Schizosaccharomyces pombe: one gene and its partners. Changing the gene in region 3 together with the main gene of any one other region gives a genetic interaction. Each region holds a gene or a part of one and is shown on either strand. Other genes may lie near its edges.

What was found.
Region 1: mutations in mph1 (region 3) and rik1 together harm fitness more than expected from each alone (negative genetic interaction), as found in Schizosaccharomyces pombe (3 studies listed by BioGRID, with this or other methods).
Region 2: mutations in mph1 (region 3) and fin1 together harm fitness more than expected from each alone (negative genetic interaction), as found in Schizosaccharomyces pombe (4 studies listed by BioGRID, with this or other methods).
Region 4: mutations in mph1 (region 3) and swi6 together harm fitness more than expected from each alone (negative genetic interaction), as found in Schizosaccharomyces pombe (3 studies listed by BioGRID, with this or other methods).

The regions. Positions count from the first base shown.
Region 1 is NC_003421.2:1,464,794-1,473,748, reverse strand, and holds rik1 (CLRC ubiquitin ligase complex WD repeat protein Rik1), read right to left. Parts: upstream 5,868-8,955; 5' UTR 5,576-5,867; coding exon 2,453-5,575; 3' UTR 1,969-2,452; coding exon of another isoform or gene 1,936-1,968; 3' UTR 1,893-1,935; downstream 1-1,892. Other genes in the region: SPOM_SPCC11E10.09C (alpha-amylase-like protein), read left to right, coding at 423-1,382, 1,449-1,892, 1,936-1,968; translation initiation factor eIF2B alpha subunit Gcn3, read left to right, coding at 7,743-7,896, 7,954-8,093, 8,149-8,591, 8,688-8,955. UniProt on the Schizosaccharomyces pombe protein: Component of the Clr4 methyltransferase complex (ClrC) which contributes to the establishment of heterochromatin by specifically methylating histone H3 to form H3K9me.
Region 2 is NC_003424.3:1,352,411-1,360,312, forward strand, and holds fin1 (NIMA-like serine/threonine protein kinase Fin1), read left to right. Parts: upstream 1-1,810; 5' UTR 1,811-1,949; coding exon 1,950-2,009; intron 2,010-2,277; coding exon 2,278-2,301; intron 2,302-2,347; coding exon 2,348-4,432; 3' UTR 4,433-4,774; downstream 4,775-7,902. Other genes in the region: nucleoporin Nup40, read right to left, coding at 1-826, 1,014-1,249. UniProt on the Schizosaccharomyces pombe protein: Promotes chromosome condensation and nuclear envelope dynamics during mitosis. Activity appears at metaphase-anaphase transition.
Region 3 is NC_003423.3:371,237-378,863, reverse strand, and holds mph1 (dual-specificity protein kinase Mph1), read right to left. Parts: upstream 5,071-7,627; 5' UTR 4,976-5,070; coding exon 2,939-4,975; 3' UTR 2,572-2,938; downstream 1-2,571. Other genes in the region: SPOM_SPBC106.03 (steroid dehydrogenase), read right to left, coding at 1-237; srx1 (sulfiredoxin), read left to right, coding at 2,028-2,402; F-box protein Pof13, read right to left, coding at 5,315-6,505. UniProt on the Schizosaccharomyces pombe protein: Involved in mitotic spindle assembly checkpoint signaling, a process that delays anaphase until chromosomes are bioriented on the spindle, and in the repair of incorrect mitotic kinetochore-spindle microtubule attachments.
Region 4 is NC_003424.3:1,699,278-1,706,057, forward strand, and holds swi6 (heterochromatin (HP1) family chromodomain protein Swi6), read right to left. Parts: upstream 4,822-6,780; 5' UTR 4,725-4,821; coding exon 3,738-4,724; 3' UTR 3,129-3,737; downstream 1-3,128. Other genes in the region: Golgi nucleoside-diphosphatase Gda1, read left to right, coding at 1-431; SPOM_SPAC824.09C (GTPase-activating protein), read right to left, coding at 1,040-1,682, 1,821-1,865, 1,937-2,015, 2,085-2,128, 2,173-2,324; Ino80 complex actin-like protein Arp8, read right to left, coding at 5,704-6,780.

The DNA of each region.
Region 1 (8,955 bases), on a different chromosome or scaffold from region 3:
GTTAACTTGTTTTGTTTAGTACAAGTTGAATGTAAACAAAAGCCGAAAAGCGTTGAAATTAAAAAAAAAAAGCCGCAATCGTCGGAACCGAAAGGCGGAGTATTTAAGACCCTCTGTATTTCAATATTCTTACTATATTTTTGGCTCTTAATAAAAGCAGCCAAAAGACTATAACCTTTAAGTGAGAGTGTCGGTTTTAGCAAACGTCCCTTTTTGAAAAGTAAAACAAATTCTGTACGAATCTCGGATACTTTTTTAAATTTGTACTGAAAGGGAAGATTTCGAGAAGAAGACTCTTTGTTGATCAGTAAGCAAGGCTGAAGAAGCGATCCAGACGAAGGCGTAGCTGAAGGCTTGATTTAAAGCTGCATTGTAAACGAGACAGTTACCAGTGAATGTTGTTTACTTGACGAAAAGGGACTATGAATCTAATCTGCTCCATTCTGCCGAAAAAAGAACCTTCCTACCTTAAATTATGGCGAAAGCAAGTTATATACCAGGTATTAACGGACAGATTTGCTTTGGATGAGGATAATTTTTATGCAAAAGCTAGCGGAAATCTTTACCTTGGGGGTACATGGAAGGGTATTACTCGTAACCTTGATTACATTAAAAGTCTGGGATGTACGGCAATATGGATTAGCCCAATAGTTAAAAACATATCTGAGACTACGGATTGTGGTCAGGCATATCATGGGTATTGGGCACAAGATATGACTCAGTTAAACGAGAATTTTGGGACAGAAGAAGATTTGAAAGAACTAGTCAATGCAATTCATGAGAAAAATATGCTTTGCATGGTTGACATAGTTGTCAACCATATGGGTCATGCCGGAAGCAAACCCGTAAACTTCTTACTTTATCAACCATTTAACTCTGGGAAGTATTATCACAACTGGCAGTTTGTACAAAATTACGATGATCCCCATGAGACAATTACAGGTTGGTTAGGAGATTCACATGTGAACCTACCAGACATTCGAACCGAAAAGAATGAAGTTCGCAAATTTTTTCAAAATTGGGTTTCTGATCTAATTAAACGTTATCAATTTGATGGTATCAGATTGGACACAGCCAAACATGTCGAAAAATCCTTCTTCCCAACATTTATTGAAGCAGCTAATGTATTTACTACAGGAGAAGTTTTTCATGGAGATCCTAAAGTCGTCGGGGATTATCAAAAATATCTCCCTTCGACTTTAAATTTCCCTTTATTTTTTCAATTGCGGGAAACCTTTCTTGACCCCAAACATTCTATGTTTTCATTTTATGATAAGGCCGTACTTGATGTTCGACATTACTTCAAAGATGTTACCGTCTTGTGTAACTTTTTGGAAAATCATGATTTTCCTCGCTTTTTTCATGAAACCAAAGACATCGCCGTAAGTCTATTGAACAATATTTCAATTTAGTACCTGCATTTTTTATATATTTTAACATTTATTTAGCTGGCTCTTAACGCATTAACTGCACTTATTTTCATGGACGGTATTCCAATTATCTATTATGGACAAGAACAGATGTTTGACGGTGGTAGCGATCCTGACAACAGAGAAGGTCTTTGGAAAAGTAAATACAATACTTCCAATCCAATGTTTAGACATCTTTCTTCAATGATACGCACGCGTCAAAATTTGGTTGAGACCTACCCAGAGTTTACATACGTGCTATCTTTTCAACTATACATTGACGATTCAGTTTATGTATTTACTCGTCCAGGAGTCATTATAGCCATAAGCAATGAAGGCTCTACCTCGTCGTTTAAAGTTGAAATAGATTTGAAAGAACACTGGAAAGAAGTGCCTTCAAGTTTTACAGATATTCTTACTCAGAAAACCATCCCCTGTAAAGACCATAAACTGAAGATCAAATCAAAAAGTGGCTTGCCAAAGGTAAGCATTTAGTTCATGTTTTATTCTACTAACAATTTTTAAGATCCTAATTTCCTCTGACCCTAGCTTCCTATAGAGAAATTACACTAGAGTTTCTCCAGTTTAATTACACTCCAAAAATACTTGGCAACACGTGATCGCCAAATGGAGAAAGTTTTTTTTTAATTTTTTAGCTTAAAAAATTCCTTTGAGCTTTTATGCCAGTTGAAGTGCTCAGTTTCTGTCATATGAAATTTAATAGTTTCATTTTAATTATTGAAATCCAGAATATATGTCATCTCGTCTTAGATAGATGAGCGATGCAACAATTATGACAAATATCTTGAATTTCGAAGAAGATTTTACGAAAGAAATTGAGACTGATAACTTTTTAACCAAGCTTTATGTACTTGTATTTATCAGTGCCATGTTGCGACAGCTTGTGACTTATAATTATAAATCAAAAGATTTTTTTTGTATTACTCACAAATGCATAATACAGTCCTAGAACCAAACTTCCAAATTTGCAATGATCCATAAAGTGTAAGATAATAACTCAGAGCAAAAAGGCAATAATACGTTTAACATAAACTTTGTATTTCCTCAAGGAGGGCTTGAACTTTTTGGTAAGAATTGAGTGATTCCCTATGTTCTACACTTCTGCATAATCGGAAAAGTTCTGAAGATGCCCATCTTTTGACATCGATAACCAAGTCTCCATCAATAAACGGGACTGGAGAAATGAGGTCTGCTTCTATACTTTCGTAGTCCATAGATGACAAGTATGAAAATTTTAATTTTCGAATTTTTCTTGTAAGTTCCTCCAGTTCTAGCTCCTTATCTTTTAATGATACTATACTCCCAATAGCACCAATTTCCGTTGCAAAAAGCATTTTTGGCTCTAAAAACGAATTGGTATTTGTTATTGGGAAATTTTGAAATTTGCTAACTTTATCATGCAGATGGTACACACTTTCACAAATGAATCTGTCATTAAAGTTTTTTGCATCTTTGTTATAACGAAGAAGTTTTAGCAAGCCACTATTAGTTGCTATTATATAAACTGTTCCTTCATATAATGCTGCTTTCACAATGTTTTCTCCAAAAAGGTATCTGGCAACGACAATAAACTTTTGGCCATCGAAGTACATAATCGTAAAACGTCCAATACTGTCCGCTATAGCAATCTCGTTACCCTCTACGATGAGTTGTAAAACTATAGAACCTAGTGATATCCTAGAATCTATCATAAGCCTTTCCTCGGTAAGTTTAACGATTGCAACTTGTTGCCCAAATGCAACGATGTATCGATCATTATATACCCCCAGATCTATCACGGCCGCAGATAGTACCATAGACGAAACTACCTTCAAAGACTGAAGCTCCTTTTCAAACTCTAACAAAATTAATCTTCCATTTACCGGCACCAACTTATCTTGTTCTATAATGCTTGTTCCTACAAGTAAAGAACTCTCATTAATCTTCAAAACTTTCTCACAACGTTCATTTTCGGTAAAAGAAAAAACCCTGAACGAATTATCATCATAACTATCGACCAACTCCAAGTGATAATTTTCCTTGTAACTTTCGTAATCTTCATATCTATTCTCGAGTGTTCTAAGCAACAGTTTATTTTGAAAAATAATGGCTTGTAACGGAACATGCTCCAAAAGTACTTTTCTTGGGGTCAATTCTGGCAATGGATTAAGTTGAAGGAATTTCAAGCCCCCTAATGATACAGAAATGAGAAAATCCTTCCCTGAGTTATCACGAAACTGACACACATCATAACTTTGAGGCATACTAAGCGGCATATAACATAGTGCTCCATTAAACCCATATACCATGTGTGGACAGTCATTGTTGCATATGATATAGGTACCAATATTCATCGTAAATCTCCTAAACGATACAGGGGTTGTACCGAAATGTTTTGTTTCAGAGAATACCAGATTATTTTTGAAAAGTACATAAGATTTAAATTCACCACTTCCGCTAGAAACTAAAAGAAGATTTCTGTCAACACCAACTCCTTCTAAAATAATATTTCTGGGCAATGATGGAACGTTGGTTTGAAAGGCGCAGCTAATTGACGAATTATCTGAGAATGTAAGTATCATCACCTGCTTAGACCAAAATCCAACTCCTATTTGAAATTGCGCTGAAAAATCAAGGCAAGAAATTTCACTTTCAAAAACTTTTCGTGCAACTTCTGTATCTTTTTTAAATATTGCCAATGCTGTTCCATTGATAACGATTGCGGAGTATTCTTGATAGCAAGCAGCGTTCGTGATTTTTTCAATATAAACTAAACGAGAGCGCTTTGCAGAATCGTAGATACAAAGAAAAGTAGATGTGACTTGTACAAACTCACCATTCGTCCCTGAAAGCGCAATCGTCCTTTCTTTGGTTGATAGAGATGGGTCTAGCTCTAACTGGAAATCTTCTTTGATATTAAAAGCAACAGTTTCACTAGGAAACCCGAGGAAGAGCTTATGCTCTGGATATGATGGTAGGACCATAGCTCGAAGGATGCCCGAGATTTTCGTCTGCCCTAAAATATCTAATTTCAGAGCATGTTGAAAATAAATTAAAGAAGCGTTTCTTGGTGTTCCTGCGCATACAAGGAAACTTTTTTCAATGTCGTTTTTGAGTACTAGTAAATCATGAATGGGTCCTAAGTTGGGTATTGAGTCAACATCCTTCAAAGTAGACAGGTTAATAAGTTTAGATTCCGAATTTTTGCTTCCGATAAACAAGAGTCCCTCATGGATGGAATTTAGAGAAGTAATAAAGTCGAAAGGTGGGATTGGTAGTCTTTCCATAACCAAGCTCCATTTGTTTTTTCCCAAGATACTCGAATATACTCCGAAAAGATATCCATTAGTATCACAAACAATATAATGCATCTTTTGCCCTTTCAAAGGAGTCCAATGCATATAAGTAGTACAAGGACCATTGATTGTAACAAAATTACCGCGATACATGCAATGAATAAACAAACTCTCAAAAACCAGCAAACCTCTTTTTCCAAAGGGCATGATCATTGACGGTTTAACCCGCTCAAATAGTCTAATCCCCTTTCCCAAACTTTTTGAGCTTAAATCTAAAAGAAAAGCTGTTACATAACAATCTAAGCCATCGCTGTGAAGGACCACAAGAGTTGGGGTACTGGAATCATTGAGAATGCACATATCATATATGAGATGCACTGGAAAAGAAAAAGGAAATCCGCTATCTATAGAACGGCCAGTTTTCAACCGTTCTTCGGCAGAAAGGATTCTAATACATATCATGGAAATTTCGTCAATGCTTAAAAAAATAGCACGCATCCTTAAGTCGACAAGGCAGTAGCTTTTCGCGTTGCGATTCCAAGGAAATGTAACTCGATAGCGAACTGGAGGATGGTCGACGATCACTTTTTGATAATCCTCGTCCCAATAAATCGAAAAATAAGTATCATCATTGAGAACTACAAATAAATAGTCTCTATCTAATCCTGGAGGGCGATATGGGCGTATATGTTTCACCGTAGAAAATAAAGGGATAGAGGTAAAGAATTGTAAGCCATGAACCTCACTACAGAGATAAATATTAATTTTTAAGGCTTGTAATAAAACTAAGCAGTTTTCAGATGATATAAAATGACATGAAGTCGCTGTGTCTACCGCCGTTGCCCAGAAGGAATGAACACATAAAGCCATACACGATGAAATCCATAAACTGATATAATAAAAGGAATAAAGACTTTTTTTAACAAAGAAAAAAATAAAAAAAAGAAGCTTTGAGTTGGTTCAAAAGATTATGACTAGACTTATGTGATTAAAAAACAGTTGAATACAAAAATAAAGAGTGGACGGCCAAGAGCCACAAAAGCCTAGAAAAAGGAATTCAAGATAGAAAAAATATGCTACCAAGTGACAATCTCTATCAAATCCTTACCAAAAAATTTCGATTTTGAATGAAAGTGCAAGACGCCAGTTACAGGCACTCCGCAGGGAGAAGAAACGAGATATGCAGTCTCTATACATTTTGCGCAAGCGAATTTATTGTAAAAGTTGATATGCATTTTTTAATATCAGATACTACACAAAACATTTTCTGATAATCATAAAACATAAGACATTTTCAACTTGCATCTTAACTAAGCCAAATTCTACATCAATGTTATAAATTTTAGCATTAGCCATATTGGGGGAAATCGAAAGCTATTGATATTTTTATAATTGCAAAACGATTTGATAATGTAGAGAAGATATTGGAATATGTTACTCTCATCGATGAGCAGAATTAAAAGCTATGGGAGATAACGACTATTGCTATTGAAAACAAGAACTAGGCACGCAAAGAAATATATACCTTCTTTACTATAGTGCATGGTATTAGAGTTACTTAAAAGATTATTTTAACAACTTGCCGATCACGAGGTGATTCACAGATTTATAGCATAAATGAAAACCTACGGATGTCTAGCAATAAAGTTAGGATTTTACTGAAATTCGAGTCGACAACTAAAACATAATATTTTTGTAGCATCGCTTTGAATGATTGAGCATGTAAATATTTAGATATAATTGAAAGCATAGAAATTATCATAAATGATTTTCTTTAGATGCTGAAAGTAATAGCGTTTTTTCTATACCAGTTTAGTGTTCGCGTCATCCATAAATACCGAAGTAAAATCAAGCTTAATATAAGCGAGATTTACGAAGGTTGGACTAAAGATTAGTTTCTCGTAGAAATGGTCATGAACTTTTGAAAGGTCTCTTAAACATAAAATAGTTTTTTAAAAAACTTTCTATATTACTTTTTACCAAATCCAATTACTGCTTTCATCAGTACTCCTTTTTTTTTAAAATGGAAGCGTTTTGACATATTTCGTTCATGATACGCTCAACTATTAGGAACATAGTAAATTATACTACAAATTCACTATCTATACAATGATAAGTATCGTTGAACGTTACATATTGGAAATCAACAGTCAAGCATTGTTTACTGATCACCGAGGAAGAATTTCATGATTATCCTCAGATGTACTCAGTCAAGAATATGATATTAAAATTATTCTCAATATTTAGCTTTAATTAAATATAAGCTATTTAATAAACCAATTTATATGTAAATACCATTCAAATCACCTACATAAATATCTATAGGAACATATCTGTAGATCAGTATCCAAAACGCCGTATAATGTCAGCTACGCAGTTTGGTATCTGCTTTAACGATACGAAAAACTGGTGAATTTTGCATATGATCCATTATATTATAATAGCCGGGTTATATAAGTAATGACTAAGTACTGGTATTGTACTATTTAGGTTATAATGTCACCTATCACTTATAACTGAACTGCGAAATGAGGTTTAGTTGTATCTCTATCGATTCTATCCAAATAATCTATCTGTTAATATAGTATTATCAATATCAATCTCGACATCGCATCATCTACGTTGCGTATCACTATATGTCACATGTTCTAATTATATATCGTACCATGTATGATACGATATTGAGATTGATCTTAATGATAATCTATTAAGATCTATATTATCTGAATAATATAAATAGAGCTACTGCTGAACCTCGTTCCTCAGTTCAGTTATGAGCTATATTAGTGATAGGTAACATTATAACTCAGTTAATACAATACCTATACTCAGTTGCTACTTATACAACCTGTGTATTGTAATATAATAGATCACAAGGAAAACTCACCGCAGTTCTACGTATCCTTAAATCAGATACCAAATTGCGTAGCTTACAATTTAATACAAAAAGGCATTGCCCGTTATTTGATTTTGTTGGATATCCTTAAAGTATGGAAAAGATGTTGCTACTAAGCAAGAGCGTCTAGCATCTGCGAATATGGTGGAATCGGATTCTTCGGGAATCGTTCGACATTCTCAAGGAGAATTTGACATCGTCCAGGTTTACAAAAAATTTTTGCAAGATGATCCAGAAATCACGATGCCTGTAGCCGCCATTGAGGCTTTAGTCCAGCTTTTGTCGCGCTCTCAAGGTATGTTAATTTGTAGTACTCATGTGAGAAATGAATTTACTGATGTTTTTCTATTAGCCAAGACAATTTCAGAATTTATGGACATTTTACAAAATGGCTCAAATACGCTGAAGGAAGGCGTTCAAAACAACATTTCGCTTTCAGCTGGTTGTGACATTTTCCAACGGTTTGTCACTCGATCACTACACGATGTCGGGGTATGTGTTGATGCAAAGTAGTTTTCTTTTCTTTACTAATTCTCCACGGCTTTAGGATTTTGAGCAATGCAAACGTCACTTGGTAGAAAATGGAAAACTCTTTATTCAGCGTGCTCGTGCTTGTCGACAAAGAATTGCACATTTAGGTTACCCTCTTATTCGAGATGGTAGTGTTATTCTTACCCATGGGTTTTCACGCGGTGTTGCGGCTGTTCTTTTGGCTGCTGCCAAGCGTCACGTTCGTTTCAAAGTTTTTGTCACAGAATCAAGACCTAGCGGCTCAGGCTGTCTAATGACGAGAACATTAAAAAATGCTTGTATTCCTACTTGCATGGTTTTGGATTCCGCTGTAAGCTTTACTATGAACCGTGTAGATTTGGTCTTGGTTGGCGCAGAAGGTGTTGTCGAAAACGGAGGACTCATTAATCAAATCGGTACTTTCCAACTTGCCGTTTTTGCCAAACATGCACATAAGCCCTTTTACGCAGTTGCAGAAAGGTACGTAAACGTTGAATCCATTCAGCTTACAATTATTTTTCCCTATGATCTCTCCATTTCCCTGTTAATTTTAAAATTTGTACTAACGTTTTTTAGTCATAAATTCGTGCGTATGTTTCCCCTTTCTCAATATGATATTCCCTTTAGTCGTCCTATTCTGGAATTTGATGATCCATCTCCTGAAACTGTTCATCCTGAACCTGAACCAATTCCAACTCCATCAGATGCTATTCATAACGAGCTGATCATGAATGAAGAACAAATTCGAAATAATCCTACTTTGGATGTTACACCACCCGAATTTGTCTCAGGTCTCATTACCGATTTAGGGATCATTGATTCGAAGAGTGGGGTAAGCGAAGAG
Region 2 (7,902 bases), on a different chromosome or scaffold from region 3:
AGTTTGAAGCGAAGTGTTGTCAGAAGCAGTTTTAGATTTTTCTTCCTCATCTATTGGCTCAGTTGAACCAAAACCAAATAAATAATGAAATAACCAATTACGAGGTTGATGTTTCTGAGAAGATTTAAAAATATCATTTTTGTGTTGAACAATGACTTTTTTACCAAGACCAGATTGGGATTGGAAATGGGCATCAGCATGCACGGGAATAGACATTGAGGTTTCGGAGGAAGAGGCATCCGTCATTTCCAAGTCTTTATTGCTGTTTCTTAACGTTTTCGGAACATGCTCCTTCGCTTCTGCGGGGCTGTATATACATCCAACCATAAAAGAGTCATTTATCAACATTCCGTTAGACAAAACTGCTTTGGCAGCAGAAGAAGGCTCAGCATATGTTAATTGTAGCCAGTTACCAGATATGGGACCCTTGGAGGGAGTGAATCCGGCACTTGAAGCAGTTAATGAATTCTCGCTAATAATAGTTCCAAAACGAGAAAATTCAGCTATTACTTGATTTGTCAATTCTGGTGGGAAACCGAAAACGATAACGGAGGTATTTGAATCTTGAGGAGCGCCAGACATGGTAAAAGAAGGGTCGTATACCTTTTCAGAGACAGGAGAAAAAGGGGAAGAACTTTGTCCAACATTGAGAGCATTAATTTGCCTAGAGGAAGAAAAGTCATAAATGGATTGAGTAGGAGGAGCATCTTCAATTAAAGATCCGGTACCTAAACGATTTGTATGCAAAAACGGTTTCGGTGTACCAAAGCTGGGTCCGCCGAATTTTGAAGAAGGGGGACTCGAGAGAGATAAACGGAAGGAAGAGCTATTTAGAGAAAATTAGTAAAGGTTCTAAGAGTTTATGTCTAATATTTAAAAATTCATAGGGATTAGGCTGAAGCTCTAACAAATTTGGATATAGATAGATATTAGGTAAAAAAGCAATTATACTAAACAATTTTTTAATCCTCCGTCTTCAAATGTCCCTTAAACTCTTCAAAGAAATTACTTACGATGACTCATATGGTTCTGCTAAAGGCGAGCTAACCTCTGGGGCAAATCGACGCTGCTGACTTGATCCAAAGTGTGAAAGATGACTGGGAACAAATTTTTTTTCTTGTGGAATGTTAGAAACAGATGTTCGAAATCCACGATATTCTTTTTGAGGAGAGGGCGAACGTAAATCATCGACAGAAAGTGGCTTTAAGGTTGATCGATTCGTGATAGAACCACTTCCCCCAAAAGACATGTTTCCGGCAATATTACTAGAGTCTTGTGATAGACTGTTGTGTAACATATGTTTTGCAACGTATATAAATTAGCGGTAAGTTCATTTGAAGGAGATGGCTTGCATGGAATGAATCATGAAGCCTAGCGTAGATCACTAAAACCAATTAACGCAAAATAACAGTTTATTGTTAATGCTATTGATTTTTATAAAACATGCAGATAAATCTTTTGAAAGCCTCAAACTAATATTAATACGTTTAGCTATTCATTTTTTTAAAACTTGATTTAAAGGACTCTGTTAAATTCCAAGCTCATTTACAACAAACCTTATACAATCATGTCATAAAAGGCATTATAGATGATAAAAATTCTCCACAACTTTTTCTCATTGCTTATTGAATAGCGTATCTTTTTCTTACAGAAATTAAAATGCGACTGGATATATATTATAATCGTAGCAATAAGCACCTGAAGTAACAGTGTTACTCCTAACCATGGCAACATTGTTTACACTTGATGATTTAACGAGACACTGCAGAAGAACCAAACATAAACATCTTGGCTTGAAATTCATATACTTAGCACTCAATCACTCCAAGCAGTATTTTTTATATTATTAATTGATAGAAGAATTTTTCTTTTTCTTTAAAGGTCCTACCGAGAAATTTAGTTTTATTTTAAGCTTACCTGAATCTCATGGGCTACTTCTGTTCTGAAGTATGGAAAAATACAAGATTCTTGAGTGTATTGGACATGGGAGTTTTGGAAGGATTTATAAAGTAAGTTTTAATCTTATTTTCACTGAAATTGGTTATTGGATAGCAAAATTCTTTCTTGTTTTCAGTTTATTTGCGAGCAACTACTTGTGGTTGGCAAATGAATCTATAGCATTGAATCAATTGTTTTCTTAAGAAACAGGGAAACTATATTGATTTAAATGCTTTTCGCTATTGTTTGTACTCTATTCAAAACAGTTTTTCAAATTGAAACTTTGATCGATATTTTTTTTTGCAACTCCTTTTTTATGCATTATGCTAACTATTATAGGTTCAACGCTTAAAGGATGGTGCTGTAAGTTTGAAAGCAATTTATTTTTATAGTTATTAATACTTTTTAGCTTTTGGCTCAGAAGGAAATACACTTTGGTAACATTACTCGGCAGGAAAAGCAGTACATCGCAGATGAAGTGAATATTCTTCGTAATCTTAAGCATCCAAATATTGTTCAATACTGCGGAGAAGAATTGAATCGTTCTGCGCAGGTAATAAACCTTTATATGGAATATTGTGGTCATGGTGATTTAGCCAATCTTATTCAACGTTATAAAGAAGAGAAAAAGAGATTTACCGAGCAAGAGGTTCTCAAATTTTTTACGCAATTACTACTTGCTCTGTATCGCTGCCATTATGGAGAAAATGCGCCTGCTTGTGACTCACAGTGGCCAAGAGAAATTTTTCATCCTAAACAATCTGTATTGCATCGAGATATCAAACCTGCGAATATATTTCTTGATGAAAATAATTCAGTTAAGTTAGGAGACTTTGGTTTATCCAAATTGCTGGACAATACGCGTGTCTTCACACAGAGTTACGTGGGAACTCCATACTATATGTCTCCTGAAATAATTCGGAGCAGCCCTTACAGTGCGAAGTCTGATGTTTGGGCTCTTGGCTGTGTTATTTTTGAGATCTGCATGCTTACGCATCCCTTTGAAGGAAGGTCGTATTTGGAATTGCAACGTAATATTTGCCAGGGTAATCTCTCCTGTTGGGATCATCATTACAGCGACGATGTTTTCCTTCTAATCAGGCATTGCTTAGAAGTTAATTCAGACCTCAGACCTACTACTTACCAGCTACTTCGCTCTCCTATTTTATCCGATATTCGTAGTAAATTGGAATCCGAGAGAGTAGTCTTGGAACAAAGCGATTTGCTTCATAAAAAACATCAGATGCTTATTCAATTGGAAAATGATCTCCAATTTCGCGAGCAAAGGCTTTCTGCTCGGGAAAGTGAACTCGAAAACGTTATAGCTTCTCGCTTAGCCCAACGTGAAGAGATATTGCGACGTGAGTTGGAAAAGCAACTGCGTGACATGGATGCTCGTTATCAAAGACACATGCAAACCGTAGTAAACTCTATGCAGAAAATGCGTGTTACAAGTCCTGTGGATCATAATGAACAACCTGAAAGCAGTACCGCTGAGATGTTTGTAGATTGTACAATTGAAGCATCACAATCCCCCCTACTTCATATTCCTAAGTTAGGAATTAGCAAGCCCTTGCAAACGTTATCGTGTCCGGGTTTCACTCTAACTACACAACAACCGATATTGAAAAGACCTACTCTCCGTAAAGAATTATCAAGCAGAGCCTTACATACGACTGCAACATTAATGAAATACAGAGCTAATGCGTCATCTCTAAGGACTACACCTATTGATAAAGATGGCCAAATTACATCGTTACAGCAAAAAAACGGCACGTCGAATCAAGTGGCGGATTGCATGAACAAGTTGCTGCACACATCTTTGGACGGAAAGAAGCTAAGCCCTTCTGAATTGTGTAATAAATTTTCAGACGGTGAAGGTTTACCAAATCGAAAAGTTAGCAAACTTAGCGTAGAGAGCGATGAAACGGCAGTGAGTGCTTCAAGTGGTGAATCCGTCCCGACTGATTCAACGTTGACTGATACGAAGTCAAAGTCTGTTTTTGTCCACCCACCTTCTCCGCAGAGTCTTTATGTGGAGAAACTCGAAAAGTTGAATATTCGTTCGGACGAAGTGTCGAAACCTTCGAAAGCTTCAAAAACCTTACATGGCTATGCTTTACCATCACTAGCGTCACCTTATGATGTTCATGCTGAAGAGAAGATAGCAAGAGAAAATGAAATGGATGGCAATTTTAAGACGATGAAGATCAATCAACACCCCGACGAGTATGTGTTACGGACTCCGAAAAAGATACAACTGTTGGAAGGACAAAAGCGGTCGCCTGTAAAACAGCTGGGAAGACTTGGTTACAACAAGCTTCGACGATCAGCGATGGACAATGCAGGATTGGAACTACGAAAGGCGGCATCTACTTCGAACTATACTAGCTTACAGTCTCGAACACTACCCGGGTCTTGGAGAGATGATGAAGAAGAAATTCCAAGACCCTTTCTACGAAAAATGCTTGACGCCCGAATGATGAGGGCTTAAGTAAAGTTCCCTAAGGTGCATTTAATTGTACGAGAATTATATTAGCACAAATGCGTACTAAAAAAAAAATACAGCAAAAAATAAAGGCCCAAATGTAAATGAAATTATTGAAATGCGTACCGTGTTGAACTTCCCCTAATTATAAGGATTGGTTTTCTATTTATTCAAAGAAATGAAACACTGCTGGTCAGCGTTTATCACGAAGTTTATTACTAATAAAGGAATACAAACACGATATTTGCATCTACAAGTTCTCGAATATGAGATGCTAGTAAATTGAGCCTTTTAACAGTACACATTTAGATGATTAGGAAATTTTGAATAACAATATTTTTCCCCAAATTCGAATGAGCCGTATTGTAAATGGAATTTAATTTTATAATTTTTGAAATAATATTACACAGAAACAAAAATTCATGGATGTAGTAATTAGAGAGAACCAAAGAATTAGCTAAAACTACGAAACGCCAGCCTTGACAAGAGAGACTGTTTTTTTTTTGGTGTAAGGATAAGTTGCGTAGATAATAAATGGAGATATACGTAAATTCGTATATGAGTAGATATCTGGTATCTGGAGAGATGACTTATCAAAAAGAAGCCGATTATGGAAGCGGCATCAAAAATAGTCTAGAAAGAAAACAAAGTGGAAGTAATAGAAGTAAAAAAAATTTTTACAATTTCGGGTGGCAGAAAAAAGGATATTAATGGTATACGAAGTGACACAAATAGGATTCCAAATGAGGGATGAATCAATTAACCACTTGACGGATTGATAATAGCAATGATGAAAATAGCAGAATATAGTACAAACTAGTAATTGACAAACACATATAAATACTTAGTTGTAATGTAGAAGTATGAAAGTTAGTCATTCATTGTTATTTCATTTTATTTACATACTTTGACTTAAAAGAAGTGCCGACACATGTTACTACAATCTTAACCCATTCTTATCGCATAAAATGTTTGTTTTGTTTAAATTTCTTTGTTTTTGTTTTTTATTTTTAGAGCTATCGAAAGTATCAAATTTTCTTTATGCTGCCAACTAAGGCCATTGGATATTAAAGTTCTTTCTTTTCTTTGAGAGATAAGTCAAATCACCAACTTGCAACCCCCATCTTTTTGTATTATCAACTCTCTCCCTATATCTCTTTACTCAGCACAATATTACTTTACACAAACCCTTCTCCATTCATCCTTAACTCTCTCTGATCCTTTAGAGTGGGATGAGAAGAAGCTTCGCTAGCTAAAACATATCCTATTATGTAATGGACTCATTATGATGTCTCGGTGAAGCAATATTTCCTTTTTCCACTGTATGTCAATACTTTACGTGGTATGTGATGATTATGCACCGCTATATGATATTTGTGCACTCACTTTTGTCATCCCAAGAACGCGTAATTTCCCTTATCGTAATGCATGCCATTTAACCTAATTTACCCAACATCTTCTTCAGCCTGTGTACTCTGTTACCACCTCTGCTTCGGCTGCATGCATAACCCCCACCAAGTACCTAGAACCCTCCACTACAACCGGGAAGTCTAATGGGTAGTGGTAAAGAGAGGTAGGTGATTAGGTTAAAAGGAGGTCTTTTAAGATAACAACGTGGTAATAACGCTGCTGACTCTATTTCGTAGTAGTTGTGACTTACTAAGTTTTAAGGCCAAAAACTGTCAAAACAGCAGTTGTCTTGTGGTCCGACAAAGCGGAGCAAGAAAGACGGGAAGGGAGGAATTAAGTGCCTTGGACTCCTCGGTTCAAATCAAATAAAGTAGGCACTTTTAAAAAACGGGACCGTTCCATGTAGTGGTGGAAGAAGAGAGAGAACCTTGAAAAAAAGAAAAGATAAATAACATATAATATTTGTGTACAAAATGAAAAAGATGGATTAATTTCAAAGTTAAAGTGTAAGAGAAAAAAATAAAGAAAATTTGTTATTTATCTCAACCAAAAAAAAAAAAAAAAAAAGAAAAAGAAAAAAAAAGTATTAAAGGATTCCGTCAGGTTTGCACTTGTTGGAAAGCTAAAAAATGTTTACAGATCACCGGATTTGGGCTAATTGCGTGGAATCCGTGAGTGCTGCCAAAGAGTAGCAGATGGGATGAGATGAGATGTGATGCGAATGTGAATGTGAATGTGAAAAATTGTAAGCCAAATGCTGTTTCTCACGATAAAAACTAAAGAAAAGCATACATTGAAAATTAGAAAAGATAAAACAAGAAAAACAGATTTGGTGCTTATGCGCTGGTCGGTAAAACAGTTTTCCTTGGACTGATAACAAGAGGGATGGATAAATAAACACGCTCGCTGATAACTTGTAAAAAATAATCAAAATAAGAGTAAATAAAAATGATAAAATAAAAAACAACGATAACAAGGGACGAGTGGGTGAAAGGAAATTTTATGTTTGCGTTTTCGTTGAACCAGCGCAGTACAGAAATACAGAAAGAATTGGGAAGTACAATAACAGCTGGGATGTGGGATGTGGGATTTAATGGTAGGCAGGATAGGGTAAGCAATGCTGGGACAAAGAGAAAGAGGTGAGGGGGGTGAAAAAGTTTTGTGAAAGAAAGGATTGTTTATGCTACGGTTGGAGAAGAGAGGCGAGGGGAAGTGAGGATGGCTTGGATGTAGTAAGGATAATAGGAAATTAGAAATAAAAAAAAAAAAAAATTTGGATATGATACATAAATGGTAAAAAATAAATAATAAATTAATAATCATAAATTAAAGAAAGAAAAAAAAAAGTAAAGAAAGCAACGGTGAAAGTAGTTGAGGAAACTCAAAGAAAACAAAATAAACCATAAGAAGAGGAAAAGTGTTCAATCGTAATAAGAAAAAAAGAAATCAAAATATATTTAATGAAATTATAATAGCAATAAAATAAAGATTATACTAAATTCATGAATGATAATAAATAATAAACAGAAAAATTTAAAGGGCAAAAAAGTAAATTATAAAAATTAAATTAATTATAAGGTAAAATAATTTAAAAATTTTAAAGTACAATAATAAAAATTCGAAATATTTGTTTATTCAATAAACTAATGGAGAGATTTTCCATATTCAAAGTTTTGTTTCATTACTAATTTATAAAATGATACTTTTACTTTTGATTTATTTTATAAATTTTATTTTTTGCTTTTGATTTAATGTATTAATTTTATTTTACTTTTATTTTTTCACTCTTCAAATTCTTAACCATTCGCGTCTTTTCATCGCATCGCCCATCATATTTCCTGCCCAACAACTGTATTCATCAATAATATCGCTACTTTCATCCTACATCTTTGCCTTCGCAAGTTGCGCAAGCTTGCTCGCCATTTCGAGTGCTGATGGAATCAGCGATATCGATGGAGTTAGCGATGCCATCACAGAAATTGCAATTTTACACATCACAAAGTAAAACAATTAGCAATTCTTTCAAAATATCCATCCACTCCGCTTAAAGAAATCATTTCATCTTC
Region 3 (7,627 bases):
TACATAATCATAGCGTTTGTAATAGGATAATCCAGCAAGGAACAAAGCGGCCGATCCTAAGCCAACTGATACTCTATTTTGATAAAGAAATTCTCCCAATCTTCCCTTGGCACTGTTTGTAGTATGAACTGTAACAGGTTGAGGGTTACTAGTTTTTTCATGAGCATAGTCAATGATTCGCTTGCCGTAATCCTTAACATTAGAGACTAAATCGGCAGCCCAGCGTTCAGGATTCATTTTTTAATGTTATTCTACCTTTTTGATATGATAATTCGTTTTCGTAGCAATTGGATTAGATTTCCAGGCAAAAAAACACTTCAATTTTCTCCCTGATATAATGTTTGAAGAAGGAAACAATGCAGGATGAAATTGAAAAATATTTAGCAATTTCAACAATAAATACTATCACTTGAGGAATTCACAAGTAATACTTCAAAAAGCTAAAGAATTCTAAAACTTGGAATTAATGAAGTGGTGAGTGGTGGTTGAGAACAGGTCGCGAATATTGGAAAACACCATGATGTCGTGCTAACTTGATCCTAAATCGCAATTCTATTTTATGGCAGTAAAGATGATTCAAATCGAATGCAAGTTTTAATATTGAAAGTTTATCGAAGTTAATCTCACATCAGGCTAATAGGAAGCTATGTTGCTAAAAACATATTGTAAGTAAATGATAGTATCTGTTCATAAAAGGTTTGATGTTTTGCGGGAATTGAGCGATGGCATTATAAAAAAATGAGGATTAATGGCTTTAGAGATTGACTAATGGGAAGGATAAAGGATACCAAGGATATGAGAGAACGGATGGATGATTAGTATTTATTATGAAATTCGCGTTTTCATTGTAGATGAGAAGTCCGATTGAAGTATTGACCTTACTTCTCTAAAGCATGTACATATGAAAGGATCATTGTGATCTGTTTGCTCAAAAAACTTTAAGAATTGTATTAAAACCTTGCTACTCTTTAAAAGTTTTTATGTGTACCATAGTTCTTGTAATTGTCTCAACAATTGTAAAAAAAAGAACAGCCTTTCATTTGTCGCTCAGTCCTTCTTTAAATTGAAATGTTATTCCTTACATTACCTAACATTTTTAAAGTGTTAAAATAATCTAATATTCAATTTGCTACATTGCCTTCAAATCTTATGATATAAAACGTTGGCCAAGAATCAATTTGGCCTCAGCAAATATAGCAGCCGAACTTATACAAACAAAATAATATACTATGGTTTCTTAATCCTGACTTAAGGATGGATTTTCTTAAAATTTAAGGATTTCAGATGCAATCTTTAAAATTCCACTTTTGTTGACGACTAACGGTTCAAGCCTACATTCTACCAATGAATTTCTTCTTAACCAAAATTTGCACTCTTCAACTAGCTAATGCTTCTTTCACCATTCGAAAACAATACTCATATTGTTTTAATGATCTTGTGTCGGTTATCTCTGTCACATTTTAGAAAGCGTTTTCAGAAAGTGAACCTTTTGTTTACACATTTTTGAATGTACTCGTGCATTTACAGTTCTCCGTCGACTCCAAGTTATTTATACCTAAGTATTTGTGCTTGAAATTCTATTTAGGTAGCATCATTCTACACTTTGACATCTTTGCAATAGTGTTTTATTGCCATCTACATTTAATGAATAAGCTACTCCAACTACCTTACTAAGAACACAAACCCAGACCTCGTAACGTAACCACGTTGCTTTGTCCTAGTCGGTTTAACGTGTTTCGCTAACATGCTGACAAATTTTTACATAAGATTTTAAGTATCGATTCATCTTTGATAATGATGTCATATTTGTAAATTATTATATACATACCGGGATAAGATAGGTTGTGGGGCAGATCATTAGTACAACAGGAAACGATATCAGATCAAGGAGTAAATATACTCGATATCAATATCCACTTTTCCATTCTTATTAACTTGCCTTTTTTTATAATTTTCTGTTCTATTTATAAAAATTTCTGTTCACTTTATCTTTTTTATATTCTTTCTTTCATTCATTTTTAACCATCATGACTTCGATTCACACTGGCTCAAATAACAACATTGTTGAGCTTGATATGTCTGAGTTAATTCGTCCTATACCTCCTGTTTTAGATATGAACAAAGTCAATAGTATGATGGAAACCATGACAGGGAAAACTCCTCCAGCTTCATGCGGTTTGACTTCAGAAGATTTGGAAGCTGGTGAGCTTCCTCCTGTTGATGTTTTAACGTTTAAAAAGAGTGGGAAGCCTTATTATTTTGCCTTTGGGGGCTGTCATCGACTACGTGCTCACGATGAAGCAGGGCGCAAAAAGGTTCGCTGCAAATTGGTAAATTGCTCCCCTAACACTCTACGCCTGTATCTGGGTGCTTCTGCCAATAAATTTTTGGATAGTGATTAGATTTAACTTAGATTTTTTCACAAGTTTTTTTAGGATTATCGATATTCCATTGAACCTGTTTTATTCCCTTCCTGCACCAACATTTATGGCGTTAATAATCATCTCTACCGGCGGTACATTATTTTTAAAGGTTTTTGTTTTACATTAGTTATGGGGTTTTTTTTTAATGTCTAATATAACCCAATTATATTAAAAAAGTTTCTTATAAAAAAGCATCATTCATTTGGTTGCTTTACCTAAAAAAAACAAACACAAAAAGGTATTATATCGTAAACAAACAACTTATAGCGTTTGGGAGTATAGCGTTCTTTATATTTACATAGTATCAAAGTATAGATATCAGGGGCCATATAATATGTGGTTCATTAATCAAGGTCATAATTACCTTCTTTTAAAAGAGCGAAAAATTAAAGATTAAAAAAAAAAAGCCTTTAAGCTCCCTAAAAAAGTCGTTAACATTAAGAAACTCGTATGATGTTTGGGAAACTTTGTAAAAGATAAAACCTTTTTAAGAATAATCGGAAAATTTAGTGCCTCTATTCTGGCATTTTTCGTAAATTGCTAACGCAATCATAAGCCATGCTATCAATAAGTTCCTTATTTAATCGCTTGTGCTTACTCAACTCCACCGACCTTTCTATAATCATTGATAATTGAGAAGCTGAGATTTCTGTGCTGAGTCTAAGTGGATGAGCATTATTGGTGTGCCCAGAAACAGGTAACGGCTTTTTGGCCAAAGGTGTCAAATAGGATGGCAAAGGGTTTAAAAAGGGATGAACCAGCAATTCCGGTATTGTAAGTCTCTTCCGTTGATCCCTTTCCAGGCATCTTTTCATAACATCCATTAGATCAGGCCCGACAGTTACACCTGGCAACGATCCCTCTTTCTCCTGGACAGCATTAGCAGGTAAGGCAACTTCGGGGAAATGAATGTGATATTGTTCATTAGGGATAGCTGCTATAGCTTGGATCATTTTTAGATGAGCAAACGGGGCCCTCCCATACACCATCTGATATAATATACATCCCAAACTCCACACGTCGCTGGGCCTGCCCAACTTTACGAGTTTCACGCCAGAGTTTGTGTGAGCATTCATGTCTGTCAAAGCTTCAGGTGCCATATAATTAATAGTACCGATGTGGGAATCACGATGGATATTAGTGGTGTCATTACCAATTGCTTTGGCAATGCCAAAATCAATCAGCTTCAAATTCCCTTCTACAAGCAGGAAATTGGCCGGCTTCAAATCCGAATGCACTATATTTTGATCATGAACTACCTGGACCGCCTCTAGCATTTGCTCCCAATACATTCTGATGAAATTAAGATTAATGGGTTTCTTCATGTTTTTCATTAAAAGGTTTGCTAAATCCGTTTCTCCGCATTCCATCACCATATTGAGTTGCCCTAAAGTATCATTAACTTCGGCAGCATATAATTTAATTATGCGATCATTGCCTGAAAGCTTTCTTAATAATGCAATTTCGTTCTTGTATCCTTGTATAGTAGTTTGGTCTGCATTAATAAAGTTCACCTCTTTCAAAGCGTATAAACGACTGTTATCGGGGGAAAATATGCGATATACCATACTACTTCCACCCTTTCCAACAACTCCTAATTTGATAAATTGTAGATTGGCAACAGTAACAACGTCCTGCTGACGCTTGGGTATGGGAGTAGCTTGACTGTTATCAAATAACGGAGCCACCTTTGGAGAAAGAGCATGAGATTCATATGGTTGAGAAGCAGAACGCTGAGGCTCTTGGAAAACGGTGACTGGACGAGAATGAAGTTCACTAGCTCTTCTTTCAACATCGTGATCAAACTGCACCCTAGGAGAAAAAGAGCTCTCAAACTGAGAAGGATGAAAAGAAGGTTTGGGATGCTCCTGGGATGTTTGCAAAGGAGTGTTATGCAGCTGCAGAGGTTTTAAAGTTGTTGCAGCAACAGAGTTGGAAGCTGGTGATACTTCTCGAGATTTCATTTCAATATCCTCATCTGCTTCTGTAGAGTTTTTGGTATCGGAAGTCTTCGAGGGATCCGTCAACGTGTACTCAGCACGCTTTGGAGGGCCTAATCCAATTCTGCCGATTCTTCGTCGTCTTGAAATTGATAAAGAACCGGGGGTTTTGTTTACACTTTTAGGTAACAAATCATGCTCCGAATTAGAATTGAGATCATTCACTCCTGCACTGAGTGAAACTTCACTGTGAGACGCATTAGTAGAGGGCAAGGGTGTTATTAAATGCTCGAAATGGTGCATTGACTGATATGCTGGAGTATTCACTTCCTTCAAAGCAGAATTTTGTCCTCCATTTCCTTGCAAATCAAAATTTTTAGTACGAGGATGTGAGACCAATCTCTCTAAAGCAGTTGCACCGCTTGACTGCCTACGCAACGTATCCCCAGTAACGGTGCCATCAGAATGGCTACTCTTGGAAGAGAAAGTGTCATTTTTGAAGTATAATTCTGGATCCTGAAGCTCTTCGAGAAAAGAAAGCGAGTCTTCATCTAAGGAAGAATCTGACACCAAGTCCGCGATATTAGTCACAGGAGGATTGCGCTTAGACATAAACACAGTTACTAAAAAACGAGCATTCCAAACCGAATTTCCAACTGTTTGTTAAGCGTTAATCAATAAATTTTTACTTCGTTATAAGAATAGCTAGAAAAGACGAACAGCAGAGCAACCATTAGTGTGCACATTTCAAAATGTTATGTTACTACAAAGATCACCCTCTAACGCAATGCTAGCTACTTCAGTGTATATCATTATTTTACGAGTTTCGCATGGTTATGAAAACGAAAATTCTGAGTAAGAATGGCATAAGATCATTATTAGACTAGTCATGAAAGAAAAAGAAGAGTTGTGAAAGTAAAAAGTTTTTTCACCTAGGTCGCCTTGCCCTTACTATATCTGTGATTGAGGCCATTTCCATCCAGCCGCTAACAGCTTCCTGCGAATCTTTTTGTGGTGAATATGGTTCTGCTCTTGGAATTGGAACAAAAGACTTCTAGGACTGATCTGATGCCATTGGGCGGCCTTGATCTTATGGAAACAAGAGTCTTCTCTTTCAGGATAAACAACACCTAAAGTAGATATTACACGGTGTTGACGAGCAAATGCTTGTATTTGCAAATCAAAATCCAACGATATGCAGGAAGGACAGACAAATGAATCGCAAACCAAACAACTTCTTAAATCTATGCAATAACGACAAATCGGCTTCTTCCATTCCCTTAAGCAATAGATACAAGCAGGGACTTTTTGCAAAGAAAAAAGATCGGCAAGCTCAGTTTCCTGACCTGCAATTTTGCATGCATTCAAAGGGCAACGTGAAATATCGCATTCGACTGGGTTACCATGAGTAGTTGGTAAAGCGTCTAAAGCATTTTGAAATAAAATTACTCGACTATGCCAATTGCTTGTTAATGTGTCATCCTCAGAGCCATCAAGCAAAACAGGTTTTAGTAATTCTAATCCTTTAACACCAAGGACGTATAGATTTTCCAATGAAAATGTCCTGCTTTTAGAATTTTGTAGAAACTCAATGAGAGATAGAGAGCAAACACCAACACACCATCTTATACTCAAGGTTTTAACGGTAGGAATGTTCAGCAAGATATTCGTTACACTAGAAATGGTAACACCTGTTCCGTCTAAAGCAATGGTCTGAAGTCCCTGGAATTTGGCAAGCATTGACCAGACAAATGAATCGCGAAGTTGGAGTTTTAAAATTGGTGGGTTTCCGTAGAGATCAACTTCAGTAGCCCATTCTAAATCACTGGCAACAGGAACTGTACGTTGATAAGGTTGTAAATTAAGAAAATTGTTATTAAAACAGCATTCATCGACAGCTGATTTACGAAGCCAATAGTAAAACTGCCTACTTGAATGCATCAGGCGTAATATATCGAATGCATCAAGATAATTAATGATCAAGGACCATATGTCTCTGTTCAAGAGAAATAAATTGGAATTTTTTAACACAGGTTGAATTGGATCTTCCTCATGATTCCGGTTTGACAAAGAAAGGGTTGTGAGAGCTTCAGCTGTAAAATCCACTTCGCACTGATTACTCGACCAATGTGTCGGCCTCATAAAGTCCCGAAATACTTTATAAATTGTTATTTACACAATTTCTTTTAAGATAATGCAATTTTCGTAGCTTGTTTGCGATTCAGCAACTCTTTTGCTAACGATTTTTTCAAAAGAGAACAATTTATGCCGAGGAATGTTAAGAAACGTAAAGAATGTGTTTTTTTAGATTCAAAGATTCCGTTTTCTTGGTTGGAGATAATCTTATTCGGGAAAAATCAATAATGAACCTCGTGATAATTATAATTGACAAATACTTTTTGTTTTCAAGTGTTGACGTTAATGAGCTCCTGTTGATATATATAAAACAAGAAATTCTCTAATATAGTCCCAAAAAAAATCCCAAAATCATAGAATTGGGGAAGTGGTTTATTTTTTCAACGAAATGGAGTAGGTTAGGGTGTTTTAGGAAAAGAGGATTGCTAACAACATCTTCATTCTCTAGAATTATTCCCAAACTCAACTGTTATATTGATTAAAATAAATTCTTTTAAAGACAAGAATGCGTTTTGCTTTGACTTGCTGATTGCTGTAGCTATTCACACTTAAAGGCGCATTGGGTTTCTTGACATTGGAGAGCTTCTGAATTAAACAGAAAGAATAGTTTAGTTTTTTTTACTACAAAAAAAAGCTTAAGGGACTATACAGGCACATGAGATTGAACAGACAAAGTTGTTGTATCGCTAAATATTCAGACGACTGACACTGCTGATTCGTGCAATATGTTCGTTCGAAAGAGATTCATTTCTCAAAATGTTTTGACAGTTCTTCTATATTGCTTGATGACCTTAGTGCTATTAGTTTATTGGCAAAGAGTCTGTGAAGTATAATTGCAAAGACTCAAACCGAACTAATCTTTGCAATTTGAGTATCCCGTAGCGTTAGCTTTTCATTTTAGTCAACTCTTTATCTCGGAATGTCATTCTCGAATCTTTGAGCCTGATAGTCGAACCGTATTGAAGACTTATAAAATGACTGTTCGCTTGGAATATGAATATGTAAAGAATATTCTCCAACATGAGTGGAGTAATATTTCCTATAAAAAAATTAATGAGAGTGCCCTTTTATCTCTAAATTGGGGTTGGTTATGCCTGTAAACATCTACTGGTTATGATCCTGAATTAT
Region 4 (6,780 bases), on a different chromosome or scaffold from region 3:
ATTGCCCAGTCCGTCCTTGTTCTTTCAATGGTGTTCATCAACCCAAGTTCACTGAGACGTTTACTGATTCTCCCATTTATTTAATCAGTTATTTTTACGATCGTATGATCAGTTTAGGCATGCCAAGCACTTTTACCATTGAAGATATGAAATATTTGGCAAATAGTGTTTGTAGTGGACCAACATACTGGCAGGACGCCTTTTCTTTAACTGACGCCCTTAAAGAGTTGAAAGAAGAGCCAGAGTGGTGTTTAGATTTGAATTATATGATTTCTTTACTTTCGGTTGGGTATGAAATCCCCAATAACCGACAGCTCCATACTGCTAAGAAAATTGACAACAAGGAACTTGGATGGTGTTTGGGAGCTAGTTTGTCTATGTTGTCAGAGCAAAACAATGGTTGGAATTGTAACGTGAAAGAAGAAATTTAGTTTTTACCTTCTTTTATTATGTTGAATGAACAACAAGCATATGTAAACTTGTTTGCTTAAAACCTCAGGAGGTCAAGGGTTAATATAGTTGATCCTGTTTTTTTTCTTGTTTTTTCTTTTTTCTTTTTTCTTTTCTACATTCGTCCATATTATTTCCATGTCTCAAAATTCGCTACTCCGCTCCTTTCAGTGTTAACTTCTTTACGGGCGTATAGCAAATCTAACATTTGTTGTACAACTAACATTAATAGATTGAGGGACATTCTTTATTCCACTGGTTTGTTTCATGTAAATCAAATCTTTCAAATTTCTGGGAAAGTTGAAATTGATCAAGGCAATTTTCCCAAATATCGTAGGCATCTTTTTACGGAATACATACAATGTGTGCTAGCTTTTAATACTTAATAAACTTTCAGCGATAATAGACCTAATAAATACATTTATGTCATTTATATTTACTGAAAAGTAGAAAATGTATTATAATGAAGGTTGAATATAGGAATCCATAAATGCCGACATCGATTGATGAACTTAAATAGCTAAATTAATGAAATATTTCAAAATAAGTAGTAAAAACCTCTGTTAATTTGTATAAGCGTCACTAAAGGCTATTTCCAAACATCATGAGAATTAATAATCTTACTGTCTAAAGAAGATCGCGGCCGAGAAGAATTGGATTGAACGGGTGATGCTCTAGCAGATGGTTGTGCACTGGTCACATTAGAAGTGAACATAGGCATCTTCCACTTATCTGCCACAAAGGAGGATCCTGTCGTAGCCGGTTGATGAAAAGCACCATAAGGTTGGCTAGACGTAGTACTAGTTGAAACTGGGGACGGTAGATTTTGGTATGTTGCATTGGTGGTTATGCTTGAAGAACTTACTTGTGGTCGTGGAGATGCATATAAGGAGAGAATTGAAGACTTTAAATCTCGTTGTCTAGTCGAAGGAGCATGCACAGTAGAAGGTTGCTTGGATAAAGAAGCTAAATTAGGAGACGACTGGGCTAAAGAAGTGGTAGCTGATATAGCTTCTTTCTTGGAAGTAACGTTGGTAACTGTAGCAGAAGAAGTGCTTTTAACTGAGTGAGCACTGGAAGATCGAGAAGCAGTATTAAGATCTAAAGAGGCGTTGACTTCTGAAACAGGTCTGGTATTCTGTTCCGGTTTTAGCGTTTCCGGAGAAGGAATTTCAGGGTAGAGTACCCATTTTTTAAATTCGTATTTCGTCTTTATAAAAGTCGCAATTTTACTAAATCTAGGTCAGAAAATATGCAGTAAAAAAAACAAAAAAGAAGCTTCCAATTTGCTAGCAACGTGTAAAGGGTATGTAGCCTAGAAAGATAACATTCAATGCCAGCTATGCTAAGGATTATCAATAAAAACCTACCTATCAGAGGGAACGTGACCACCCGCAAGTTTGGCTTCCCAATACCTATTAAAGTTGTTAGTTTTTATATTTTAGGACGTGAGCGCAAAGTTTTTTTGAAAAGTAGACAAACTTACAAATTAGCACGTTCATTTCCCCATCTTGTCATATTTTCAGTTTGTTCATCTGTCCATGAATCCAAATCAACAGATTTTACTAGTTTTGTCTGTTAATTTCTGATTCTGAGTTTTTTAACATTAAATTTTGTATCCTAGGTAATCATACCACGACTAACATGAACTCCAAGACTTCGATGCACTCCTGAGCATCTAACAAGTGTTAATGATTTCAATTTTAAGCAGCTATTACTTACCTGATACAAATGAAAACACCCAAGTTCCAACTTGCCCATCGTGGTTGTTCATTGCGCTTACAATCCGCGCAAACTTTGTTGTAAGGTTCCCGCAAAAGCGACTTTAAAACGAGGGCATTTGATTCCTTCTTTTTGCTTTTTGAATTTATCATTACACTTCAAGGATTACTAGGCAAATTATAAAACTGGTTAAGTCTAGTGATTTTGGGTCAATGAACAATCTACCGTATTGCAATGTTACAGTGCACAATTACGTCCCTTTGTTTTGAATAGCAAAGAAAAGCATCCTTCCTTTTCTGATGATTACGCGGTTTTTTATCAATCAACATCGTTAAAAACATTTAGCATTAAATATTATTATAATTAGCCACAGTACGTTGCAGTTCAAAGAGGTATACACAATTTGAATAGAAGTCATATATATAACAAAAGCGCAACTTGTGACTAATAATTAGATTAAAAACAGTTAGAAATATAATAGTTATTATTTAATTTTTTAAAAGTCTTTGAGGAGCAAGCAAAAAGTCCAAGTGAGAACTCTGTTGTTCAGTCTCAGCATACAGTAGTGTCAATCGATAATATGTATTGCCGAGAGGGGACTGATGTCTTCATGTGTTGCTAGCAATAAAAAAAGATAACAAGGAAATTCGATAAATACATGTTCATTTGCAAAGTTTGCCATAATTTGCCATTATGTGTTTATATGGTAAATCTGCCAATCTGACATAAACATATTTAAAAAAAAAAAAAAAGAGGAACAAAATATGAATTTATCCCAGCTTCTTAGAAAAATAGCATAACCAGACTTCTTCATCATAACTTGCTTGTATTTTTTTTTGCTAATGTACAAAAGCAGCAACAATTAAAAATCTATAATTACAACTGTGTTTACATAGCAACAATTACATTCAAACCCTTATTTATCTTTAGCTATACAGCTATTCTCAAACGAATTTCTCAAGAGGCAACATAGTACTTGATAAAGATTCAAACTTGATACACTACATCTTGACCCTATCTTTGAGTTCAGTTGGTAACCCAAACTTAGAAGCATATGGAACAGAAGAAACGGAGAAGGCAGATATTCATGCACCCTCATTTTTGTTAACAAATTTATCTGCTGAGGTTTATGAGTAACGATTTTGCATGCATAAATTCTTTATTTAACGAGTAAAATTACGTTATTATTAGACACGATTTTGAATGCATGAAGAGCAGTGCATGCTAAATTAATAAATGGTAAAATTAAAGAAATTAGGTTATCTAGAATGTCAAACCTTAGGTTATTTAGAATGTCAAACCATAACGACAAAAGGTATTTTACATTTCTCAAGTCACTCGTAATCAATTCAATGTGAAAGAAAACAAAGGCGTTCATAAACTAGAATGTGATGTTAAGCGCCTAACAAAAATTTGTATAAGTATAATGTTAGATGCATTTTTCGAGTAAGAGAACAAGAACTCATACTACGACACGGGACTTGATAAAAGCAATAACGTCAGAAAAAAGCGAAATCTAATTTATAAACAAAAGAAAAAGAATTTTTTAAAGGAACACAAAAAAATTATTCATTTTCACGGAACGTTAAGTGGCTTTCATAAAATTGAAGCATCTTCTGAGGACATTTTTTATTGGTGATAGTACTAGGATGATGAGATATTGCACCGTTCTTCCAAGTCAGATAAATTTCCAAGGTTCCATCATCTTTTCGTTCAATTGTATCGATGCTAGATACCAAGTCTTCCCAAGAATCATAGTTTTCTACTTGTTTAACCGTCAGCTCTCTGTTGTCCGGAAGTTTGGGAACTTCCGGACTAGGCTTCTTTTTCGGAGTAACATTGCTAGGGGTCTCTGCTATTTGAATATCCTCACTTTCATTCGATTCTTTTTGTGAAGGAGATTTAGACTCATTGTCAGATTCAATGTGACCATTCGGCTGACCAGAAGGTGGGCCGTTCTCATTAAATTCCTCTTGCGATTTATCGGCGAATTTAATAGTTTTCTCATTCACATCTTCAATCTTTTCATTGGAATCTTTGTCGTGTTTATCTTCATCAGTTTTACGAGACTTTGGTGAAGGCTCCTTTGCTTCGGGCTTTTTAGGTCTTGCAGTCCTCTTTCTTTTAGAAGGTTCTGGTCTTCCTCCATGTTCATTCCAATATGCTTCTATCAACTGTTTGCAACCGCTACAATCGGCTTCTGAACTCCATGTATTATCACTGGGATCGTCATAACCTTCCCATTTCAAAAGGTATTCATAGCCTCCACCTTTTCTCGCCATACGGTGTTTTAAAACCTTTTCTACAACATATTCATCCTCTTCTTCTTCTTCTCCTCCTTCTTCTTCTTTGGCATTTTCTTTCAATTTCTTCGACGAAGATTTACTTTCATGATCGCTTTCAACTTCATTGTCCGACGACCCAGAGTCTGCTTTATGAGAAGCAATAGCCTCCTTTGTCATGCTTGGTAACTCTGGTTCCGAATCGTCGTCAATAACTGATCGTTTTGAAGTAGAGGAGCGCCGATAAGATCGAACACCTCCTTTCTTCATTTTTCACTTGTCTTAATATGAAAATAAACGAGATTTCAGAATATTTTAAAAAGTACTAAACATCAATTTCGCGTTGGTCTTTACAGGTTGTTTGCTCGTTTAGCGAGACATGTTTGGCTTGCTTTTCATGGTGTACAGAATGGCTAGCATCACATAGAGTTCGTTTATTAAAATATTGCATAGAAGTACTGTATTAATCGTTGTCTAAAAGTTGATTAACGACGCCTAATTTTGCTTAGATCACTATCAGTAATAATCATTATTTCAAAAGCATCTCAATTTCCTAGTGATTTACTTAATGCGAAATACGAAAATATTGAACAAATATTACCGTTAGAAATAAAATTAACATTTTAAGTAATGCTGCGAGTAACAAGATATTTGGCTGTTACGGTTGGCATGCTGATTTGTTTTCTAAAGCAATGCTGAGTCTCTCAAGATTGATAAACAATCTTAACTAGAAAACAATTCCACCTTTTAAATTTCGTAGGCAATCATCGTCAAACAACAAAATATATATTCTTATGAGGATTCTTTTTGCACTACATATTACACTGAATAACTTAAGTCGTCAACGAAGTCCCGAGTGGCTCAATCGGTTTAGAGCGTCTGACTCTTATGATGGTAATCAGAAGGTTGCGAGTTCGAGTCTCGCCTTGGGAGTTTATTTTTTCAATTTTTTTACAATGATACTACAATTTTTGGAATGTAAAGATTACTTAAATACAAAATGGTACGTTTAAAGAAATACGTACTTAGGGAAATTATGATAAATTCAACTTATTTGAGCACTCAAATATCAAAAAGAATGAGTAGTTGATGAAGTATCTTCAAAATTTCAAAAAACATGAACTTAGAGGCATCTGTACTGTTTTTGTAGACCATGGTTTATTAACATCTAAAAATAATGAAAAATAGCAAAAACATATGGTGTTGCATTAAAAAATTAGTAACGAATATGAAAGCATAAACATATGGTTTAGCCAGTCCAAAAATAACCCAATGTCTTGTATTGCAAGACACGGCTACCTAACATTTTCCAATCGCTGTTTTTTATCCACAGCTCCGATACGATCCGAATGCGATTGTATATACAAGCACCCTTCCAGGCAACAAATTGAGCATCCATACTTCTTGGTGGAGGAATTACCGAAATAGTAGGGATGTTGGCACGCTTGGAATGGATACGCTCTTCCAGTAAATGAGCAAAGCCCGGGAACTGACCAGCTCCACCGACGATCAAAATGCTTGAGTAAAGATTTTTTGCCTTCTCATCACTTAAATTTCCATCACATGCACTAAATATACTCTGGTTGATTGCATCATCCAAAGGATATATCAGTTTCTCATTCTTTATTTCTGGAGCAGCAAGTGAGCCACAATATACTACCCGTGGAGGCTTGAATTTTACCGAAGGTGTCACCAAATCACTTTCTTCTTTTTTCTCTTCATCATCTTTTCCATTAGCTTTGATGTTGGATATCGGCGTAGATATTTGCAATAAAGTGGTTTGGGCAAGTGATTCGGGATTATTCGGTTGGTTGTCATATACATCGACCGGCACTGGAAACAAAGTATACCGATCATGAAGTTTATTTTCATTTTCAAAAATGTCAGGGCGAAAGAATCCAAGAGGTGCAAGCATTGTTTCGTCAAGGCTTTTAAATGTAAATTTTCTAGTCCCTTTATCAGGTGTTCGCGAAAAGAAGCTATTCAATTGAACATTATAGGTTGCTTCACTTAGGCCACAATATTTTATTTTTAAAGCATTGGCTAAAGACCAATCATACGGAGTTTTTAAGTCAATATCCTGATACGGGAAATGACTTCTCATGAGTAATTTCATGAATAAAAGCGTAATGTCATCTCCTCCATAGTTTATTTTTATCCTTGAGTTGGGAACGACAACCCCTTCTTCTACACAACTGATGGATGTTTTCTGAGCGCCCATATCGACAACACAAGCAGCAGACATTCCAGCACCAAATGAAGTGCACAGCGATTCTTGGACTATGGCAGCCTTTCCAAAATGCAAATCAAAAAATAAAATGTCTAA